Linked DNA regions of Drosophila melanogaster. The protein of the gene in region 1 interacts with the protein of each later gene in a pairwise test. Each region holds a gene or a part of one and is shown in the gene's direction. Other genes may lie near its edges. The genes, in order: danr and dac.

Evidence for each region.
Region 2: the proteins of danr (region 1) and dac interact in a two-hybrid assay, tested with the Drosophila melanogaster proteins (one study listed by BioGRID).

What each region holds. Positions count from the first base shown.
Region 1 is NT_033777.3:25,127,158-25,139,671, forward strand, and holds the start of danr (distal antenna-related), read left to right. Parts: upstream 1-10,914; 5' UTR 10,915-11,075; coding exon 11,076-12,335; 3' UTR 12,336-12,514. Other genes in the region: Mocs2A (molybdenum cofactor synthesis 2A), read right to left, coding at 1-189; Clbn (caliban), read left to right, coding at 654-709, 775-1,504, 1,576-2,453, 2,516-3,631, 3,690-3,888; Bili (Band4.1 inhibitor LRP interactor), read left to right, coding at 5,438-5,796, 5,859-6,610, 6,673-6,839, 6,895-7,241, 7,306-7,467, 7,535-7,723, 7,790-7,919, 7,993-8,091 and 2 more. UniProt on the Drosophila melanogaster protein: Probable transcription factor with a role in the retinal determination (RD) network. Regulates ato expression and is required for normal R8 induction and differentiation.
Region 2 is NT_033779.5:16,483,939-16,487,538, reverse strand, and holds the start of dac (dachshund), read left to right. Parts: upstream 1-1,540; 5' UTR 1,541-2,102; intron 2,103-2,731; 5' UTR 2,732-2,796; coding exon 2,797-3,600.

The sequences.
Region 1 (12,514 bases):
CTCGTTGTGGGCCAAAATCAAGTTATCCCGGATGGAGGTCAGGCCAAATTTGGACACCAGGTGGTCCAGCAGTTCGGTGGCAGTAATTTCAGTAGGAACTTCCACTGTCGACCGGGGAGTGTTTGCTAATTCACGGGATTTAGCAAAGAACAACACGTGCACGTTGACAACAGGTCCATCCGCATTCATATTTACAAATGAAGATTGGCGATGACACAGCAGTTCCATTTTCCGACTACCTATGTATCGATTTCTTATCGGAACGAAGTGGAATAGTCCACGGAAAGGGAAACAGCTGACTGAAACTTTATTAAATGCTTAATAACTTTTTAGATAAATCAAAGAAGCTTCTTACTCATTGCATAAACAATACAAATATTTAATACATAGTAATTATACAGCGAATTCATTCTGACAATCCGAATCATCAACAGCATACAATCGATATATTTTGTTTAAAGTTCGTCCATCGCAATTTACACCGATACTTAATTTCGCAAGTGAATAAAATTGTTATTATTCCCTATTAAACTAATTTAACTTATCTAACGTAGATAGCGAACTTGTGAATATTTAATGATAAGTTAAGTTGCCAGATAGATTCTTTTTTCTTCACTTTCCGTGTTGACATCGTCAACTTTCCATAAAGAACCATGAAGACACGTTTCAATACCTTCGATATAATCTGCGGAGTGGCGGAACTGCAAAAGTATGTAAAAAATCCGGATAATTCCGATGCCCAGGAATAATGGTACATCTACATTTATATTCCAGGCTGGTCGGCTGGCGAGTGAATCAGATCTATGACGTGGATAACAAGACCTACCTCTTCCGGATGCAAGGGACCGGTGCAGTGGAGAAGGTCACTCTGCTAATAGAATCTGGTACAAGATTCCATACCACTAGGTTCGAATGGCCCAAGAACATGGCTCCGTCCGGTTTCAGCATGAAGTTGAGGAAGCACTTGAAGAACAAGCGCCTGGAAAAGGTTCAACAGATGGGTAGCGATCGTATTGTTGACTTTCAGTTCGGTACCGGTGATGCCGCCTACCATGTTATTTTGGAGCTCTACGATCGTGGTAATGTGATCCTCACCGACTACGAGCTGACCACGTTATATATTTTGCGTCCGCATACGGAGGGCGAGAACCTGCGCTTCGCCATGCGCGAGAAATATCCCGTGGAACGGGCCAAACAGCCCACGAAGGAACTGGAACTGGAAGCTTTGGTTAAGCTGTTGGAAAATGCCAGGAACGGCGACTATTTGCGACAGATTCTAACACCCAACTTGGACTGTGGTCCGGCAGTTATAGAGCATGTTCTCCTCTCACACGGCTTGGACAATCACGTTATCAAAAAGGAAACAACGGAAGAAACGCCGGAGGCGGAGGACAAGCCGGAGAAGGGCGGTAAAAAGCAACGTAAGAAGCAACAGAATACGAAACTGGAACAGAAACCATTTGACATGGTTAATGACTTGCCAATTCTTCAGCAAGCAGTAAAGGTAAGAACAATATCGTGGAAATATTTATTATTGCTGTTAAAGTAAATAAAACGTTCTGTGCAATCTTTTAGGATGCTCAAGAGCTTATAGCTGAGGGAAATAGTGGAAAAAGTAAAGGCTACATTATTCAAGTTAAAGAGGAAAAGCCTACAGAGAATGGAACGGTGGAGTTTTTCTTTAGAAACATCGAATTTCATCCCTACCTCTTTATTCAATTCAAAAACTTTGAAAAGGCCACATTTGAGTCCTTTATGGAAGCCGTTGATGAATTTTACTCTACGCAAGAGTCGCAAAAGATTGACATGAAAACGCTACAGCAAGAGCGTGAGGCACTAAAAAAGCTGTCTAATGTCAAGAATGACCACGCAAAGCGTCTAGAGGAATTGACAAAAGTCCAAGATGTGGACAGAAAGAAAGCAGAGCTAATAACGTCCAATCAAAGTCTGGTGGATAATGCAATTCGGGCTGTTCAGTCAGCTATTGCCAGTCAATTATCCTGGCCGGATATTCACGAGCTTGTAAAGGAGGCACAGGCAAATGGCGATGCTGTAGCTAGTTCCATAAAGCAGCTTAAACTGGAGACTAATCATATATCCCTTATGCTCAGCGATCCATATGACAACGATGAAGACGACGATCTTAAGGATCCAGAGGTTACTGTTGTGGATGTCGACTTGGCTCTGTCTGCTTGGGCCAATGCCCGTCGATACTACGATATGAAACGTTCGGCTGCTCAAAAAGAAAAGAAAACTGTAGATGCTTCCCAAAAAGCTCTTAAGTCTGCGGAGCGCAAGACGCAGCAGACGCTCAAGGAAGTGAGGACTATATCGAACATAGTAAAGGCACGGAAAGTTTTCTGGTTTGAAAAGTTTTACTGGTTTATCAGCTCTGAAAATTATTTGGTTATTGGAGGAAGAGATGCCCAGCAGAACGAGCTTATTGTTAAAAGGTTTGCTTTCAATTACTTAAATAGATCGAAGTATTTATAATTATGACATGTTGTTATTCCAGATATATGCGTCCGAAAGACATTTATGTGCACGCTGAGATTCAAGGCGCCTCGAGTGTTATTATTCAAAATCCCACAGGAGAAGAAATACCTCCCAAAACGTTGCTAGAGGCAGGATCCATGGCTATTTCGTACAGTGTTGCTTGGGATGCCAAAGTGGTTACCAACTCGTACTGGGTAACAAGCGATCAGGTCAGCAAAACTGCACCGACTGGAGAGTACTTGGCAACGGGAAGCTTTATGATCAGAGGAAAGAAGAACTTCCTTCCCTCCTGCCACCTGACCATGGGTCTAAGTTTACTTTTCAAGTTGGAGGATAGCTTCATTGAGCGCCATTTGGGAGAGCGTAAAGTTAGAAGCCTGGAGGATGATCAAATAGATCCAAATGTTAAAGAAAACGAAGTTGAACATGATCTTTTGTCGGATAATGAAGACGCTGATTCAAATATAAATCTATCGGAACCAAGCTCCAATACCGAAATTACAGCTTTTCCCAATACAGAAGTTAAGATTGAGCACGATACTGGTCGCATTATAGTCAGATCCGACTCCGTAAATCCAGAGATTGAAGAGACTAAAGAGAGTGAAGTTGTCCTAGACAAAATTTTGAAAAAGACGGACGATGAAGAAACGACCATTATTTTGGCTGGTCCAAGTCGTAAAAAGCAAGTAAGTGCCAAAAAGACCAAGGAAGACAAGGCACGGGCGAAACAAGAAGCTGCCAAGCAGGAAGTCCCTCCTGTGAGTAGTGAACCAAAAAATCCATCTCAAGTTAAGAGAGGTCAGAAGGGAAAGCTCAAGAAAATGAAGCAAAAATACAAGGATCAAGATGATGAAGAGCGGGAAATTCGCATGATGATTCTCAAGTCATCGGGTAAGGAAAAGCCACAGGCCAGTGCCGATAAAGTGGTGGAGAAAAGTGAGTCAACCAAGGAGTACGTGAAGCCAGAAAAAAGTGCAGCTCCCAAAAACCCAGTGGAACTGGACGATGCTGATGAAGTGCCCGTCGGTGGGGATGTGGATGTACTCAACAGTCTGACTGGACAGCCGCACGAAGGAGATGAGCTGCTGTTCGCGATTCCAGTCGTTGCTCCCTATCAGGCTTTGCAAAACTACAAGTAGGCTATACTGAAAGTTCGCATAAAATGTTTATTGTAAATGTGATATCCTTTTTAGGTTTAAAGTAAAGCTCACCCCAGGTACGGGAAAAAGAGGAAAGGCGGCGAAACTAGCACTTAATATCTTCGCAAAGGAGAAGAGCTGCAGTGCTCGTGAGAAGGACTTACTGAAAAGTATAAAGGAAGAGTCGTTGGCCAGGAATATACCAGGAAAGGTCAAGCTATCGGCCCCGCAACTTCAGAAGTATCACAAATAACTAAATCAAATGTATGCAAAATGTGTTGAGCCATAACTTAAGGAAGTGTTAAAAATGCTTTAAAAAAGTAATGCCAGTTGATACAATAAAAGAGAATGTTTACGGAACTGAATATATATGTTGATTCCTTATCAAAGAGATATATATATATATGTATATATTGATTTTGTTAACGGTTGAAACTGGCTCTTATCGATAGTCTTGTTGCTGGGCGAACTTTAAGCTGGGATTTTGGGGCGCATGCGCCTCATATGGGGCCCGAGTTTGCATGTGTTTGTTTACTTCGGTTGGCTGTGTTCGAAAGTGGTGTTGTATAAGTAGATATTTTGGTGCTAAGTCGCCTGTTTTGGCATTTTGTGTACTAAAAAGTTCGGGAACTTCTCGTCATCATTCGATTCGTCGTGAATTGCCACAGTAAAAATCTACACTAGCCTGTTTAAAACAATGAATTCCTCCGGAGCCCGATGAAAAAGCAAACAAGCCCGAAGGCAGCAAATCACATAGCTTCTCGCAACCAAAGACAATACAGCGGAAAATGTATCTTTCGTGCGAAATCCGTGTAAAACATTTTTTCCAACCCAACCGTTTGCGTGCCGTGGAGGATTTCACCGATATGTAGATACATTTAGGCAAAGACGGAGTGCTTCCCAACGAAAGGAAACCATTGCAAAAGGAATAAAATTAAAGTGCTGAGGCTATGGTTCGGTGAAAAACTATGGCCTTCAAAGTCCCACCCAGTTAGAAGGATATGTGCGTGTGTGTCTGTAAGTGTGTGTTAGTGTATGTGAGTGTGTGTGTGTATGCATACATATGAAGGCATGTATTGATTAAGGACACAGCACTTTTTTCTCAGCCGTGTGAGCTGAACTGAATTAACATACAGTGTTTACGTGCCTCCAATTATAAAGTTAAAAGTTATGCCCCCGCTGACATACTTGCAAGCACTCGAATTAGCATGACGTACAAAAAAAGTGCCCATATTCGCATTCGCATTCGCACATATAGACCTTCGTGTAGGTATGTACGAGCATGTGTGTATACAGCATACCCTCTATTGCACCTGCTCGAAAAATCAAATATCAGAACTGAGGACCATTTTGTTATTTTAAAACAGAATATCAAGGCATACAGAAAGTTTGTGCGATGGAAGTAAATGAATTAAATGACCGTTTTTATACAAAATCCCAAACATTATAAACGATGAAATTACTATCCCCCATCTAAAATATATTTTATCTCATTTATTTCTAAAATTTAAATAAACATACATGAAAGAGTATGAATTTACATTTCAGAAATGCCAACTGATAGCTAATAAATTGCTTATAATGGACTTTTGTGGAATATTTGCAACTGCCAGATAAAATGAGGGCTATCCTGATTGCTCAAGCGAACCCCGAAAAGGCGTCGACAGTAACTAATCATATTTGTTAGCAGCAGATCTACTAAAACAGCAGTAAGGTTCACTTAACTGGCATTAAATGAATATGTGAACGATTCCTTAATAAAATATATTTTATCCTATTAATATTACTTGAATTTTAAGAACATGGAGCCAAATCATTATTACTGCCGGAGCGCCATGCAGCAGAATCCCTCGACTTCCATTCCCCAACATGCGTCGAACAAACTCAACTATGGGATGAACGCTGGCCAGGATTATGTGACATGTAGCTCCGGCCAATCGCAATCGGGCTACAGCTCCAAGGACTTGGTTCCGCGCAGTGGGAACAGCAAAACGCTCGGCGGGAATGGCAACATGGGGAGTCCGTACGGAGGATCTGTGTGCAGCAACAGTGGCCAATGCAGCAAGAATACTGCCAACGCTGGGAACTATATCAACATAATGACTGTTCCACTGGGAACACTGCAGTATAATCGAAAAAAGCTATCTACACAAGACTACGAGTGCGTTTGCTATACCAAGTTCAACGAATTTATGCATTATAATATTCGTAATTACTTTTCAGATCGCATTTATATTACAACACTACGGATGTGAAGTGTCGCGATGATTACTATATAGCCAACAATGCCGCAGCAGCAATACCGCAGCACCAAGCTCATCAACCGCATCAGCAGCCGCATCAGCACCAACATCCGCAGCATCAGCAGCAGCATCAGCAACACCAGCAACACCAACAGCACCAGCAACATCAGCAACATCTGCACCAGCAGCAGCAGCAACAGGCAAACTTTCTCCACATCCAACAATCGCTACAACACAACCACCAATTGAGCCACCCAGAACCAATCCATCAGTTGCCCCAATTACAGGGCACGGTGGCCGATCCACCAGATGCCTTCGACAACTGTGCGATCTTCCCGAGCGCCGGCGGCAGCAGCAACGGAAGTGGACGCGTGGCAGCCACTCAAACCCATCAGAACCCATCCGGTGTGGTCACGTGCGACCAGCAGGTACCCGTGTCCCTGGGCTCGGTGAATATGCCCGTTCCCCCAATCATGTATACCGTGCATCGTGTGGTGACCACAGCTCAGATCCAAACGGCAGCGGGCAGCACCTTCGCCTCGTCGGCTAGTGTGTCCAGTGTGGTCAGCACTGGCCAGAATGATGGTGACTGCCTGTCGCCGGCACAGGTGTCCTCCGCCATGGCCGCCTCTGGAAATGCTTCCTGTCTGGGTGGATTACCCGACATGGGCGCCAACATGATGAGCAATGCAAGTGCACTTTGTCCCCTTTCCGACCTGAGGAGCCCATCCGGTAAGAGAAACTAAATTGCAATGTTTAGTGTTATGCTATTTGTTTATCTATAACATTTTTAGGAGTGCTCACCAATTCCTCATACATGCCACAACATCACAAGTGCAACAATGGGAATGATGCCCAATCCAATCCCGCAATCCAAAAACGCCTGATGGCGACCAGCTCAACTTCGAACTTCGCGACTGCCGGCAAAGCTGCTTCCAATTTAACCCGTGCTCTCCAAAATGTAAGATACATTCCATTCATTTTCAGCCACTTGAATGCGATTCTTTACTTCATAGGTGATCCCCACATGCGTGTATCTTATGTCCCGGGTGGCGGTGCACATGGAGATCGAGGGCACTGCCCAGTGTCCATCGCAAGTGATGTTGGCAGCCGCCTTGGGATGCGAGGAGCTGGGCATATCCAATAAGTTGCTGGCACAGAGCGTGTTCGGATTGTGGATGACAAGTGCTTTACTGGAGATGCAGCTGAAGGCCCACCACTGCCCCTACATAGTGCGAGTTGCGTGGCCCAATCTCCTCCAGAAGTTCAGCAACAGCAGTCCCAGTGATCGAAAGTTCGATGAGCCCATGATAGTTTTGAAGCGGAATGTCTTCTTCTCGAAGCGAGATGAGGAGAAAATAAAGTAATACCGATCAATAACTTTAGATTAACCCATTTCAAACTTGATATTATGATATCATTTTCAGGGATCATCGGATCTTGGAGCTCCTCTATGAAGAGGCCAGAAACAATGTGCTGACAGGCAGATATATCATGGAGCCGGTGCATTCGCTAATGTTGGGTGGCATTCAAGCGCGCATCGAACTGGGTCCTTACAACTCCCACACCCATACAATAGGATTCTTTCGGCAAGTCTAATACTAAACTAATAAAACACGCCAAGTTCTAACTTTGTCTGCTAATTTGATCATTTAGGGAGAACCAAGCTAGATTTTTGCCTCCTCACGTGGCCAAGAGCTCCACTTGGCTGTGGCTACCGATCAGTCAGAAGAATTCTGCGGAAGTGAAGCTTCTGGAGCAATTCAAGCGAGTGCCCCAGACGGCCACCACACGAAAGTTGATGAGGAAATACCTGGAATTCTGCTGGGCTCTGCCATTCTATGGGTAGGCTTCTGATATATATCTTACAATATATATTTAATAATTAATTTTTTTATTTCATGCTCACAGCGCCGCATATTTTCATGGCCAAATAGAACAACCTGTTAGGGGAATTATGGCACTGGTCAACCAAAAGGACATGGAGGTTTTGGTCGCTGTCAATGAGAGAGGGGTTTTCGTAATAGATCCGTACGAATGTGTAAGTTATTTTATATTAAAATAACGTATAGTTTTAATCCGCACTGTTTAATGACTCACCACTTTTGATGCAGACCCTCTTGCTGGGATTGCGATACGAGGATTTGTCGTGGGATTACGCAAAGCCAAGTGCAAGTGATGATCCCGAATGCCTCACTTGTATCTTCCTGCAGGTACTTCGCTGTGTTTTCGCTGTTATAAAAACAAGATCTTAGAATCATTTACTTTGCAGTTCGATGCCGTCGAGAACGGAATACAAGTGTCCAAACTGATGCAAATATTTTCAAAGCAAGCTGCCATGATAGACGCACTTATATCACACTTTACAGATCAAATCAGAAACAAAAAACAGGAGGGTAACACTCAAGAACCTTTTCACGATGGTAAGCCACATACTATCAGCTCTATATGTCATAATCAAATCCAATTCTGATTACTAACCCTTTTCAGAGCCAAATCCTATTCAAAATAATGGAAATGGAGTCTTATGCAATAAGCTGTCTCGATTAACTTTGGCCACCTTCGATGAAGAGGGAGGTCGTTGCATTGGGCAAATGGGATCATTATCTATAAGCTATTAACATTTGTTACTAACGATAAAGTAAATTTAAGTTAAGGGGTGTTGAATAAAGTTCGCGCATATATTCACGAATTGTTGATCGATTTCCATAAATATACTCACAAGTAAATTTTTAGCAAACGGAATCTTCACACTCACAGTCACCTTCATAGCGTATTCCATTAACTTTAATTGTTTTCTAATTTTACAAAATGTCGGTGATCATTATTCGAATTTTAATGAATGGTACAATAAGTTACTTAAGACTTACACTAAGTTACAGAATATATCGCTGAAGGCACTGGCAAACGAAGATTCCATTATATCCACGCACCCATCAGATATTTTATTTGCCGCCAAAGAGTTAATATTATTTATTTATTATTAAATTGATTGCATTTATTCCCATTGATGCCCCCGAATAGTTATCTCTTTTTAGTTTAAAGTTAAGATAAGGCATGCAGTATATATTAAGATATATACTTATATGGGTATGTGCATTTGACGTATGCGTTCAGAATTAGTTTAATAAGCCTTCGACTGAAACAAATTATGTATATAATAACAATAAAGTGTATGTACAAAATGTAAGGGCTAACTGCCAACATAGGTTATGTATATATTTAAATTTGTATGTATGTATAAATTGAGACTTAAAATAAATACCGTTTCCTCATACTTATACTGCAAATACTTATAAATCTAATGCAATTTGATTTTTCCATTAAATGTGCACTTATTTTGACTTTATGTATCAGAAAGAGTATCTCAATGCGGTATGTCAACAAATTGTTAATTTTAATCGATAATTACGATTTGAGTACGCTTGCAATCGTTTATTTATTGTGTAGGTTTCATATTTAATTTAAAACAATCCATTCATTTTAAAATACAGTTTTGTGACAAATAAACTTGAATGAAAATTGTTTAATAATAAATAATGATATAGTTATAACATACAGCAAAACGGAAATTAATCAATACAAGTAGATGTAATCTAATAAATTATAGTTAATAGAAAATTTATTTAAATATGTGTAAATCAAACATAAATACTAAAGGCTACTTACTTTCTAAACTGTGTCTTTTAATAACACAATAAAAAAGTATTAAAAAAGGGATGTGTGATATTATTTAAGGAGAATATTGAACGGATTAGCATTTCTAAAATGATTATTTTAAAGTGTACTTAGCCAATTTTCGCAATTTATAATATGATTTGGTATATTTACCAGGCTGAAAGCTTTTAAAGCAGTTCTTCTTCTAGAATGCTGATAGTTTTCTCGAGATTGAAAGCTTTTGTTATTTTTTCTTTAGTGGACGGCGCAGACGCATTAATAGTTTAAACAATAATTAAACGACGAGATTCATTGAGACATTATAATCCATTTTAATAACAATAACAGTGTTTGACAGCATATACATAGTTCTTTGGATTAGGGGTAGAATCAAAGAATTACAATTAGAAAGGTGTTCCAACAAAGGTGTTATGTACATTACGTACGTTTTTAGTATACAGTCGCAATCAAAAAATTAGAAGTGATCCATAAATAATATATTTATATGAATTACATCGTTTTATGAAGGTTAAAACAATTTTGTGTGCGAATAATCATCAGCAAAGAACTATGCAAGTTCTCCATATAAGGTATGTGCTATTCTTTTATATTATTGTACTTCGTGAGCACTTATACATATAAATAAAAATATTTAAAAAAACGCAGTGAATTCAAAACTTGTGTTAATAAGTTTAGCCTGATCACCTTTTAGTCTATATATTTTCTATTATCTTCATAAGATAAGGGTGCAATGAAAATATTTACCACAAATAACGGACAAAGAGTACTCATGGAAATTAGTGCAAACACACAGATGGAGAGTGCAAATAATATAGAGTGGAATTGTGTTATTCTCGGTAGATTCGCAACCCAAAAGTGCAACCAGGTCCACGTCCGTATCAGATCCGCTCACGCACATGCGAATGCGAGAAGGTTGGCCAAATACACGCACACACACTTTCGCAGGAGGGAATGTTTATGGGAGGTAAATAACTGGTTTTTATATAAACACACGGGCACATACACACACACACACGCAGCCACGTGGAGGAGCCGATTTGGAAATGTGCATCCTGCATGCTGAATATCTAGATCCACAACACCACCACACACATACGCAGCCCGCGAAGAGGGACGCGAATGATGGTCAGGACATCAAACCCGTTAAGAGAGCCGAACAGAGCGAATTTCGTGAGCAGGACATGAGTAACAAGTTGTTGCACTGGTGGGTGGTGGGTGCGCGCGCGAGAGAGAGAGAGAGAGAAAGGTGAGAGTGGCGCTTTGCTCCGATTGGTCGAGAAAAAGCGAGAAAAACGTCATGCCGTTCTCTTCGCCGCAAAATCATCGGATCATCTCGGCGGTCGCCGTTCGCCTGTCGCCGTTCGCAGTTCGCAGCTCGCCTTTCGCGGAATCGGATTCACAATCACATCCTTCTGCGAGTTCGAGGAGTGCACACCGGTGGTCGCATCCGCAAAGTCCGCGCTTCGAAACCGCTATCGTAATCGCAATCGCTATCGCCAGCGCAACCAGAAATAGAACCATGGATATCTCCGCCTACCAGCACATGAACATCCGGATGAGCACGCGCGGCAAGCGTCCTCTGAGGAACCTCACGCCCAACGACAAGGTGCGTGCCATCCAGCGCATCCACAATGGTGAAACCAAGGCGAGTGTGTCGCGGGACATCGGAGTGCCGGAGTCCACGCTGCGTGGCTGGTGCAAGAACGAGCAGAAGCTGCGCTTCATGTGCCGCCAGCTGGGCCCCGATCACCTGGGTCTCGACACGCCACCGGAAAAGCGCGCCAAGTTCGAGCTGCAGCTCCAGCTGCCACCGAAGTTCGTGGCACTGCCTCCAAACTACGAGGAGCTGGGCTTCGGTGCACTGCCCTACAGTCCAGCCGATTACCCAGTGCAAAATGAATCCCTGCTGGAGAAGCTTAGCCTTGTGGAATTTGTAAAAAAGAACGGTGGATTGCATCCGGAGGGTGCACTGCATCCGGGTCAGGCCGGCGTGATGGACTACTCCAACAACATGCTGCACCAGCTGAATCTTCTGGCCCTGCTCAACTCCAAACTCACCCCACAGACTGCCGATGTCCTGGTAGATGCACAGCCGAAATCAGAGGACAACAAAGTGATTGATTCGCCCGCTGCTTCCGAGGATTACAGCAAAAACAATTACCCCTTGCTGAGTGTTAAGAACTGGGCCAAGGATCCGGCCAAGCGGGTGAACTCCGCCAATCAGCCGGAGCAAGTGAACGATAAGAACAACAATGCCCTGGAGGCCAACAGTTCCGCACCACAAGCTCTTGTCACGGAGCAGGCGAAGACTCCCATGTTCTCGGACACCACAATGCCCCTACTGCCAGCACCCTTCCCGAATCCTGCGGATCTAGCGCCTGTGATAGCACCAGTGACTCCGGCAAACGCCCCGCCCACTGGAACCGATAACCAGGGAGCGGCTCTGCTCGACTGGTGCAAGCTCTTCAATGCCAGTTTGAACTTCCTGGCCTTCGCTGCGGCCGCAGCCTCCATGCAGCCCGGCGGCGGAGGACCAGGTGGACCCAGCTACAATCCCAACCAAATGGCCAGCGGCGGATCGGAGCCGGATCTCGAAACATATCCTTTCAACGAGGCGCTACTAAAGCGACTGAGTCCACTGGCGCACAGTGAGGCCTCCAACGAAAGCTACTGCGACAGCGAGCCGGAGGATCTGTCCGTGCGCTCCTGCGCCTCCAAGGCGTCCAGCAGATCCCACACTCCCGACAAGAGCGTCGGGTCCAGCGACGCCGAACAGTAGACACCCTACATTATAGCATAGTTGTAGTTGTAGTTCATAGTGTAAATACATCCATTTTTATTGTTATTAGCCACCTTTAGTATTAATGAAACTCGAATCATTTCGCAATGCAAATGCCATTTGTACTTATCAATTAACGTATTAATATCACTGCAACAGGTATTAATAGCTCAGCATAC
Region 2 (3,600 bases), on another chromosome or scaffold:
TAAAATGTCACAGTTTAGAAAAAAAGTAGCGTTACATATTAATTTTCATATCTAATATAATCTTATAACTATTTTTTAATGAAACAAACCGATGTAAAAATAAAATATTTACATTACAATAATTATTGTGTTTTAAATTCTTCTTTAAAGCCCGAAAATATTTTCTAAAAGCTGTTGGAAATCCACATTTGCAATCAATTTAATATTAAATGGTTGCTGTCACCTAAAAGACAGTGGGTGAGGAAATCCACAAAAGAAAAGCCCCAAACGAAACGAACAAGAAAAATTCATACGTCATGTGCAAACACAATACATAAAGACGTATTCCATTCCCATATAGAAAGAAATATGTACATGGAACTCTCAAATGGAGAGAACGGAATGCGATTGGTTCGGCGACGGAATGGCAATCGTTATGGAGAAGAATCGCAGAAGGCGAAACGAAGACAAATAATAGAAAAATGACCGAGCTCTCAGATACATTGTACATAAACATATAGAGGTGGCAAAGGTGCGATGCCAGAATTTATAAGCAATGCTATTTATAAGAACCCGAAAAACGAACGCCCCTCAGGCGAAAAAAAACCCCATTATCGCAATATGTGTAAGTGGAAGAAAGATGCCCTGCCATAGTGCTGCTCTCCTCCGAATCAGCAACACAAAAAGAAATACAAATAAACGGGACTCGAATGGAAACGAATGGGAAACGGAAAACGGTTGACAAAAAAAATCAAAGCTTGGGACGGAAAGAGATAGCAACACTGCCCCGAAAAGTATAATTCGTTGAAAGTTTGTCATTTACTTTTAATTGAAATTAAAATGCTTTTTGTCAAAGACAGCTGCGCAAACTCGAAGTAAAGCTATTTTTTTTTACTTTTCTTCTCTGGCAATGCATTTATTATAATTTACTTTGCAACACAAAATGCCAAAACAATTGTCATTTGTTTATATAAGGCGTCGCCCATGGGGGCGAGCGAGAGCGCAAACATGTACGACTGGCTATGCAAATATGCTGCTTTCTCGCTCGCTCGTGTTTATTGGTTGCAGCCCACCTGAGCGTGCGACAGAGATGGCGAGATGGTGTGAGAGAGAGGGCTCAGACTGAAACGAAATGAAATTGAAATGAAAAACGTTTTTTTTTCCAAAGAGAGAGAGCGGGAGGATTTGAAGAACACAACACGCACAAACGAATTGAAAAAATAAATAAAACGAATGCAAGAGAGAGAGAGCGATTACGTTTGTCATTGTATTTTCGGGGTTGCACACAGAAATATACACAGATGCAAACACACCGATCAATCGCACATACCACTCCCCTTTTTGGCCTGGTATTGGTGTAATGCGAGACGTGGACGGGCAACAGACATTCGTATTCGTACTCGTATTCGTATTCTGGTTTTGCACAATCGCAGATACAGATACACCAGCTCGCTCTCACAGGCACAGACACACACATACAAGCACACTCGTCTCGGCCGACCGCGCTGCCGGCGTCGCTGCCACGAAAATCCGAAAGGAATCGAATTGAAACTCGCCTTTCATTACGAATTTGTCATTCGCAAGAGAAGGTAATGCAATAAAACTTTTGCGCGCGCATTTCTCTCAGTACATAACGGTAGCGCTTCGTGTGTACGTACGTACGTACGTGTGTGTGGGTGGGCTAAAAAAATAGCACTCGTTAGCGCCCGCTCACTCGCTCACTCGCAGTCGTCGCCTCGCGCCGTCTCGCTCTCAGTCGATTCCCATTCGAATGCAATTCGTTTCGTTGATTTCTCCGAACGAGAGGGGGAAGAGGAACCAGTCGAAGGCGAAGAAGCAGAGGCAGCGACGCCACCGTCGCCGTCGCAGCGGAGTAGCTGCCATCTCTCAATCTCTGAGTGACAATCCGTCGGTACGGTACTCGAAAACGGACACAGCTCCGGTTTCCAAAATTCCAGTACGAAAACGGTTATTCGAACTCGATTAACACAAGCGGGCAATCGGAATAAATAACTTGAAATATTCAGAGTATATATTTCACAGCGAAATTCAAAAAGCAAAGTGCGCGAGTGTCTTGTGTCAGTGATGTTGAGTTTATAAATTACTTTTAGACCTCCTTAAAGGTAAATCTATGTTCTATATCGAATTATTCAAATAAAGCTGACAATAGGTATATTTATGCAAATTGGCAGTAAGGATCCAAATTAGCTTCATTGCCTTGTTTTTCCCAAAACTTAATTAAAGCAAAGTTTGCAAAGCAATAGTTCTGTTGATAAAGGATTATTTATGGGGGGTATTAGAAGATAATCGGACTTTAAATGTCTGAAAGGAAACTTTTCTATTTTCTGTTAGTTCTCTATATTTCTTTGTAAGTAAAATGTTTGTTAGGATATTAATTTACAAAAAATATTTAGCAATATAAACTTGTAGCTACCATATAACTAACTAAACTGGCTCAAAAATAGATTTTAATAAATAGGAGCATAGCTGAGCCTAATACAAATCCTAAATCGTTTGTAAATTTTTTGAAGGTCTGCATTTAAATTTGATGTTATAAAACTTACAGAAGTATTAAAAATGTAAAGCCAATAATAAGCGGATAGGAATATACGAGACACGCTCACTTAGAATTTGCATATAGAAGCCTAATAAATAATTAAAAATGAATTAAGAGTTCATTAATTATTTATCTTCCTCTCACCATCTATTTTCTATTTCTCCCTTACTTTGTGTCAAATTTTTGTCACGATAGAAAAAACGTCAAATTAACGAATCGATTAAAAAGTAAATAAACAAAAGTGTCGGCCATGATGAAGTATGGATTCTGTGACAAGTGAACAGAGTGAAAATAACAACAATAAAGCGGGCGCAATAAATAACAATATTAATAGTGGTATTGAAAGAGCCGCGGGCAATATGAACACCACCGCCATGTTGATGCATCACCAGCAGCAGCAGCAGGCAGCCGCAGCAGCGGCAGCCGCAGCAGCCCAGCAGCAACAGCAGCAGCACAATGGACGCGACGGTAGCAACAGTTCGCGTGGAGCCAACGAGGATCGTCCAAATGGACGGAGCTCGCACACAGGACGAGGATCCAGTTGCTCACCGGCCAGTTCACCAAGTCGCCATCCCAGTGCCGTCAGTCCGGTGAGCTCCCTCAACCACTCCATGATGCAGCAGATGCAGCAACAGCAGCAACAACAGCAGCAGCAACAGCAGCAGCAGCAACACCATCAGCTCAGCCCCCCGCCACATGGAATGCCATCGGGCAACGGACTGCCGACGGGCCTACCGCCCAGAATGCCCCATGGACTGCCGCCCCATTCGCTGGGGCTCCTCAACTCCCTGCAGATGATGCACCATGCCTCCCCCTTGGAACTGATGGCCGCCGCCCATCACCATGTGCCGCCAAGGTCGTACAACTCACCGCCGCCGATCTCCACCTCGGATCCCAGTGCCAATGAGTGCAAGCTGGTGGAGTACCGGGGTCAGAAGGTCGCCGCATTCATAATTAGCAACGAAACGATGCTCTGCCTGCCGCAGGCCTTCGAGCTCTTCCTGAAGCACTTGGTCGGCGGTCTGCATACGGTTTATACCAAACTAAAGCGCCTTGACATCGTA